2 linked regions of the Mus musculus genome follow. The protein of the gene in region 1 interacts with the protein of each later gene in a biochemical or structural test. Links are inferred from orthologs where the notes say so. Each region holds a gene or a part of one and is shown on either strand. Other genes may lie near its edges.

Evidence for each region.
Region 2: of the proteins of Rnf185 (region 1) and Cgas, one has a biochemical effect on the other in vitro, tested with the Homo sapiens proteins (2 studies listed by BioGRID). The link is inferred for Mus musculus from reciprocal best matches to the Homo sapiens genes RNF185 and CGAS.

What each region holds. Positions count from the first base shown.
Region 1 is NC_000077.6:3,418,606-3,422,163, reverse strand, and holds part of Rnf185 (E3 ubiquitin-protein ligase RNF185), read left to right. Parts: intron 1-2,184; coding exon 2,185-2,302; intron 2,303-3,558. UniProt on the Homo sapiens protein: E3 ubiquitin-protein ligase that regulates selective mitochondrial autophagy by mediating 'Lys-63'-linked polyubiquitination of BNIP1.
Region 2 is NC_000075.6:78,440,135-78,444,455, forward strand, and holds the start of Cgas (cyclic GMP-AMP synthase), read right to left. Parts: upstream 3,104-4,321; 5' UTR 2,945-3,103; coding exon 2,330-2,944; intron 1-2,329. UniProt on the Homo sapiens protein: Nucleotidyltransferase that catalyzes the formation of cyclic GMP-AMP (2',3'-cGAMP) from ATP and GTP and plays a key role in innate immunity.

The sequences.
Region 1 (3,558 bases):
TGCAACGGCTAGTGCCCTAAGCACATTGAAAGCACATAGTTCCTTAATTTCTTTCTTCTCATTATGAATTTGCTAGCCAGTGCTCGATATATAAATTAGGGTGGCAGTGCTGGGATTAAAGGTGTATGCCACCATGCCTGCCTGCCCTCCACCCCAATCTTTCCATTATTTCATCATTTGTTCTAAAGAACTCACCAGAGGTTCAAAGGATGGAGAAGAATTTGTAAGCTGTGCACAGTGATTAAGAGTATGAGTGTTCAGGGTCATCAAGTTGGTTCTATGGGTAAAGGCTCTTTTCACGCAAGCCTGGTGACCTTTGTTCAATCCCCACAACTTACAGAGGTAAAAAGAGAACTGACTCCACAAAGTTGGCCTCTAACCACATATGTTCTATGACACATGTGTAATATACATAGGAACACCTACATGCAATAATAATACATTTTTATTAAAGTTTGAATTTTCAGATTACATTGGCCAAATTTAGTCTTCCGTAAAATGTTAATGCAAGAATTAAACATAAGCTGCCACTCTTGGATGTACTTATCTGTAATTCCAGCAGTCAGGAGTCTGAGGCAGGAGCATTGCAAATTTGAGGCCAGCCTAAGCTACCTAGTGAGATCCTGTCAGAATAGGGAGAGGGTGTTTGTGTCTTATGTGCAGACCTTGCACTCAGAGGAGCTGCTTACTAACAGAGCTACAGTTCTGCTAAGTCCACTCCTGGGAAAGACAATGGGTAGGAACATATTTGGGGAGAAACCAAGGTTGGAGTGCAAACTGCCAACAGTGGCTATTTGGAAAGATTTCTGACTTTTTTTTTTAAAAGATAGATTTATTTATTTATTTATTTATTTATTTATTATATGTAAGTACATAATAGCTGTCTTCAGATGCACCAGAAGAGGGCGTCAGATCTCATTATGGGTGGTTGTGAGCCACCATGTGGTTGCTGGGATTTGAACTTCGGACCTTCGGAAGAACAGTCGGGTGCTCTTACCCACTGAGCCATCTCACCAGCCCCTGACTTATTTTCTAATGACAAATATATATTACTCTCTTTTTCCTTTTCTTTCTCCTCCTCCTGTCCCCATTTCCCAAGAGCTGGGACCACAGTACCATACCCAGTTTTATAGTAATCTGAAGAAATTAAATTGTTTTAAATATTCAGAATTTTATGTGACTTGAAAAATTTATATGTGTATGTTTTGTTTCTGTTTTTATTTGGGTTTGTGTTTGTTTTTGAGAGTCTTGTTGGAAGTCTTGTTATATAGACCAGACTGATGGAGAGCTAATTATCCAACTACCACCACTTAGCTACTAAATTAATGCAGTGCTTTGGACCAAACTCAGAGCTTCTTGAATACTCGGCAGGTGCTCAGCCAGCTCAGCCATCCACAGCCCCTGAAGCCTTTAGGAGAATACTCATTTTTTTTTTTTTTTTTTTGGTTTTTCGAGCCAGGGTTTCTCTGTGTGGCCCTGGCTCTCCTGGTACTCACTTTGTAGACCAGGCTGGCCTCGAACTCAGAAATCTGCCTGCCTCTGCCTCCCGAGTGCTGGGATTAAAAGGCGTGTGCCACCATGACCGGCGGAATACTCATATCTTGACAAGATATTTATATATTATCATTGTACAGGAGCTTAAACAGTTTGACATTCTAAGTCATAACAGGTTTTCTGTCTGTTTGCATAAATGTGCACCAGGTTCCTTAGAGAACATGTTACAAGATTTTGTTTGACTGATGTATTGATGAGTCAGAGTCCATATTGTTTTGTTATTGCAGATAGTCTGTATCCTATTATGATGTTCCTTTGCATTTGGCCATAGGACTGATGGCCAGCGTTGTGTAATAGATAATATGTAGGAAATTTTACTGGCTAATATGGAACCCTGGAAAATGATCTAACATTGTATATAAACCCTGAGAGCAGTGTTTTTCGCTTTTGGTCAGAGCTGTATCTTTTTGGACCAGTTATAGCCCCTTAGCTATACGCCAAGGGTAGAAGGTCAGAGGTGCCTCCAGAGTTCCTTTGCTTTGTGGTGTGGCTGGGAGGAAGAGCCAAGGCCTTAGTTTGTGGCAGAGGGACAAGAAGAAACATGAGGACCATATTTGTGCTGTGATGTAAGACACTGAGAGATGGTGATTAAATCTGCTTATTTTTCTTAATTGCTTTTCTTCTCCATAGGGATTTCAAGGATTTGGATTTGGAGATGGTGGCTTTCAGATGTCTTTTGGAATTGGAGCATTTCCATTTGGGATATTTGCCACAGCATTTAACATAAATGATGGACGGCCTCCTCCAGGTAAGCCCACTTTCCTTAAATCAGGAATATATCCTGCTAGAAAGCTGCCTAGAATTCAGCAATATAGAAGTTGCAGATTATTATCACTGCATGCATAGACTTTCCAAAATCCCTTAAGTTCTTTGCAGATTGCCACACTTATCCAATGATCTGAGCACTTACCATGTATTAGGTACATGAGGGATGTGTTCTGTTCTATTACAAACAGAGGGCCTCATCACCTGTACTGCAAGTAGTGATTCTAAGACATAGCCCATGACCATAAATTAAAAATTATAAACAATACTTAGCTAATAAAAGCTTAATCCTACACACACACACACACACACACTTTGACTATTTTGGATCAGGGAGGAGTGAAATGTTAGGACCTCTTGTTCCTTGGGAACTGTGTTTATATGTGTCATCTGCATTTCTCCTTTTAGCCTCTTATCTGTAAGAAGACAAACTGTATTCAGAGTACAGCACAGCAGCAAGGTCTGTGCTTAGACTCCGTTACACTCTGACACAGCCCTGCTTATAGTAATGGAGCCTTCTGGGCCTGGGTACAGTATGAGGAGCAGAAGTGAGTAGTGTAGGGCTGGTCAGGAGCTCAGTGCTCTGAATATGGTAACCCATTCAGAAGTCATCAGAGCTTTCCCTGCTTCATCCAGTTCCTTGGACATAGTGAGCAATAAACCTCTTGGTTGCGTGCCTGCATGAGTTTATCAGAGCAACCAACCGTGAGGGGATGACATGCTACCCCACAATGTACTCAGGCATTGCTTCATATCTTCGTCTGCCTAGAATGTCTCTGCAGTTCACACATTGTTTTCTCAGAGGAAGGGGACCCCAAAGACAGGATGTGATTTGTCTTAAAGGAAAGACAGATTCCTGTAGAAGCAGCAGGAACTTCCGACTAGCTTGCTGCTTTCCACCCTGGTCCAGCTTTCAGACTGGATCTCCTCCAGTTCATTCCACAGCCAGGCTGGGCTCCTGATCAGTTTTCCTTTGTCATGCTTGGTACGGTTTGCACAGCTGAGAGGTGGATTCAGTTGCCTTCCTGCCTTACAATACTCTGACTAGCTTTCCTAAAAGCAGAGCTTCTTACTTAGTCAGTTCCCCCTCTCCCTTGACATGTGATTTCTGGGCCCTGGTTCTGGGAAGAGCAGGCATACAAGATAGGTTTAGAGCCATCTGGAGCAGTGTTCAGAGAGGCAGGAGAGTAACAGTGTTCATGTACGGGCCCTTATGGTCTCAGAAGGCTTATACTCTAC
Region 2 (4,321 bases), on another chromosome or scaffold:
GATGGTCCTCAGGCACTTCAGAGACCTGCTGAATCTGGCATTTAAGAGGCTTAAACTTACCATGACAAACAGAAACTCCTAAATCCTGGCAGTGACCACCTCAAGGTCGCCAAGAAGATCCTGGCATATCGGTAAAGGACTCCACCTAGCTTGTACTACACTAATCACCAAGAAAGACTGCCACATTGCCTTGCCCAGGCTAGGGCCAGCCTGAACCATGGACAAACAGGACACCAGAGAGTTAATTGTCCATGCTGCCTAAGACAAGGTGAGGTCTGTCTCTCCCATGTTCCTCCTCCACAGGAAAAGCCTCTCATAGTCTGGACCAAATGGCCAAAGACTGCCTCTGCACAAGGTGCCATGGAGGCCACAGAGCCTGGGACAATTGTTTAGGTAGTAGACTTTAGACTCGCCTCGGTCGTTTTAGTTGATATATAGGCCATTTTTGGATTATTGTTCCTGCTTACTTAGGTAAATTTTATCCTTCTCAGGTCTCTGAAGACTTTGAAGACCAATGAGAGAAGTAACTTTTTACTATTTCTTACTAAAGGAACTCACTTTACAGTGAGTGTTCCCGCCAGTGTCTCATGGTGATTTTGAACAGAAAAACAGTTTACAGTTTATGTAAGGTCTGAGGCTAGGAAAGCGTCTAAGAAAGTGCGCGAGGAAATAGCAAGGTGTTCTGAGGTTGCTAAAGGTAAGGTATGAAGGTTGGAGGTCGTGAAAACCTTGAATGCTAAGGAAAGTGAGCTAAGGGAGAAGGAAAATGCTTCAGATCTCTTCCCCTTCCCTCCCGTTCCCTCCCCTCGCTGTGCTATCATTGTGGTGAGACCTCAAAGTTCAGAGTTTAACATGGAACAGTGGTAAAACTAACACTTCTAATATTTATCTCTTTTTGTAAACTTAAAAAGATACTTCTAAGCTTCAGGGCATCCACTCGAATCCACTTCTCACAGGTCAAATTGACTCCAGATAAGTACTGCCAATCAATAACCTGCTTCCCTCCCCTACCTGTGTATTCCTGAGGGGGGATCTAGTCCCCTTTCCCTGGTCCTGGGAGCCCCACCCCAACTACCAAGACCATGGGCCTAAAGGTTTCAAATGTACACCCAAGAAAATTTCTTTTTCTCCCTAACCTCCTTAACTTTATCTTCTGCTCCTATCTGTTATTAGCATCCCAAATCCAGAACAGTCCCACAACCTGGACAGCAAGTTACACAGCCTGCTCTTCTCAGACTTGGTCAGCATTCCAGTTTTGAACCCCTTCCCTGATCATGGCACCCCAATGTCAGCAAAGTAGCCATAGACAATTGCGAGGCCCCTTATTCATTTATTATCAACAAAAGGCTGAGGTGTCTGGATTCAGATCCAGGTGCGCATTTAACCAAAGCCGACCTGGCCTCCAGGTTCTCCCAGGTCCCTCAGTCCCTACCTGTTACAGAGCATGGCTAGCATACTTCAGCCTCTGCCCTGAACCTTTCAGCCAAGGGGCTGGGCTTCCCCTCCGCCAGAAGCAGCTCTTCTCTATATAATGTGGGCATTTTGTGCGCTCTCTCTCGCTCTCGCTCTCTCTCTCTCCCTTCCTTCCCTCCCTTCCTTCTCCCTCTCCCTTTCTCCCCTCTTCTCTCTTCTCTCTCTTCCTCCTTCTCTACCCAACTCTGCCTCTCTGTATGTTCTCTCTCCCTGCGTGGGCACACTCTTTCTCTCTCTCTCTCTTCCCTCTTCCCTCTGTCTCCCTCCCCACAGTGACTACCCTGGCCTTTTTCTTAGGACCAGTGAACCTGCCCAAGAGCAGCTTTCTAATAAACCTGCCTTAATATATTTTAATTTGGCTTGAATTGGCTCATTTCACTAGCAGAGAATAGCTATCACCATCATCTTCAGGAACTCAGCCGGGCCTACTCTCCGAAGAGCATTAGAGGTAGGCTTGTAGATGACGTTCGCTCATAGGGGGTGCGACAATGTCAACGGACCCTCACTTGAGTACCCAGCCACCTCTCCCAATTAGTTGTATACAATTCTGCCCTAATTGCAGGCGGTCCCAAAGTCTCAGGGATGGACTAGATTCAATCTAGAGGCTATAGTTGGGGAAGGATTAATAAAGATGACTCCCCTGCGACTACTTTAAGGTCACCTGTCCCATCCCTCCAAAGCAAACTAACTAGCTATCAATATTGCTTGCTGTGAGCTAACTGGATGAATTAAAAAAAAAAAAAAAAGACTGGGGTGTTCCAAGGGAGGGGGGCCCTAAGAGTGTGGGACCCCCAAACAGCTGAGGAGGCAAGTGAGGAGTGGGGCCGGAGCCCCTCCAGCAGGTCTTGACGCTCACCTTCACATGTTCATAGTAGCTGCCAGTGTTCAGCTGCTCCACACCTTTGAACTCCGACTCCCGTTTCTGCATTCTGCGCAGCAGGCGTTCCACAACTTTATTCACCGTCTCGGCCGCCTCCGAGATATCTTTGCGTTTCAATCTCAATTTGTCCAGCACCTTCTTTAGCTTGTCCGGTTCCTTCCTGGACCCTCGCGGCGCTCTGGGCTGCCCGGTGGAGCGCGCGCCCCTTCTGTGGCTAGGTCCCCTTACGACTTTCCGCGCCTCGGGATCCGCGGGCGGCTGGGGCTCCCGTACGGCGGGCAGCTCCGGATCCAGGATGGCCTGCTGCTGGGGCACCCGGACGGCAGGCCGCGCGGTGGCTCCTGCCGCGTCCATGGCCGAGGGCTGTGCATCTTTGGTGAGCTCAGTGGCCCTTGCTGGATGCACTCGGGGCCCTGGGGCACGTGGCTTCTCCGTGGTGTCCCCGTCACGCTCCGCCCGCCGCGATCGAGCCCCCCTTTGCGGGCCGCAGCTTTCCGCGTGGGCCCTGGTCCTGCTGGGCTGCGTCGGGGCGCGCTTCGCGGACGGCTTCTTAGCGCGTGGCGCCGTCGTCCTTCTACGCGGATCTTCCATATCTGCCGCTCTTCGGTCCGGGAAAGAATAAATCGACTTCGAAGAAAGGCCGCGAAAAGGGGAACTCTCAGTGGCCGCTGGAAATGAAACTTAAATATATGGCGGGAACGTAGCCGGTCAGTATCCGCCGCGAGCAGGCGCAGGAGCACGCGTGAAGTCAGCGCCAGGAAGAGGCGGTCCAAGAGATGCGAACTTTTTCACCAGTGGGGACCAGCAGAGCCACTAGCTGGGGAACCACCCACTGAGCCACTGGCCGGGAAACCTCTCCTTTACCGCACAGACGCGGAAACCACTGACAGCTCAGATGGCTAGATTTGCCGCCTACCACCAAGATGTGTTTCAGGACACTACTGTCTCTCGTACATTTGTAGTTGATAAACAACTTTTTTATGTAAACTTTTTTGTTGTTTTTTGTTTTTTTTGTTTTTCGAGACAGGGTTTCTCTGTGTAGCCCTGGCTGTCCTGGGACTCACTGTAAACCAGGCTGGCGTCGAACTCAGAAATCCGCCTGCCTCTGCCTCCCAAGTGCTGGGATTAAAGGCGTGCGTCACCTCGCCCGGTTTATGTAAACTTTAAATCAAAATTTACTGTTCTTGTTAATGAGAAATAGAAACTCACTGAACCTTTTCAAGTTAGATTTAACTGCTTGGAATTAGTATTTCAACTTATCTTTCTAAAAAGCACACCGACTCTTAAAGAACATATTCAAAGTGCCTGTGTGAGTTTCATGAGCAGCACGGTGTAAGCCATCCTGATTTGGCTGCTGAGATTCCGTAGTCCTTTAATGCAGACTTTCAGAAAGCGATTTCTAAAGTCGGTCTCGTCAACAGTGGCTGCTTCTTTTAAAGTTGTTCTTGGCGGAACTCATTTTGCCTTCCACTGTGCTAACAAAAACAAAAACCTGTCTTCTGAAGATTTACATGGCTCAGAACAACACTTAGTTTTCAACTAACATCAGAATGTTATAATAATAACATTACTATATTCCACACCTTATTATGCAATCCTGTGTGTCCCTTAAAATAAAGCTCAAAAATTGCTGCTCTGTGTAACTTTTTGTAAAGTGTGTGTGTGTGTGTGTGAGTGTGTGTGTGTGTGTGTGTGTGTGTGTGTGTGCGCGCGCGCACGCGCGCGCGTGTGTATGTACCATATATTATGAGATACATGTAGCCTGAATAAAAAGACACCGATCAGTGTGCTGCCATCCTATTGACCCTGCAACTCTCTTCCCTCCTTCCTGTCAATGCCTGTACATGAGTTTTCAAAATGGGAACTTGTCTAACAAGCATTCGCTTTTGAATGGCAAGTAGACACACCTGGGAATGGAAACGCTGCCTACTTTGCAGAAATACACTTGAGCAGGAGACCTCTCTGTGA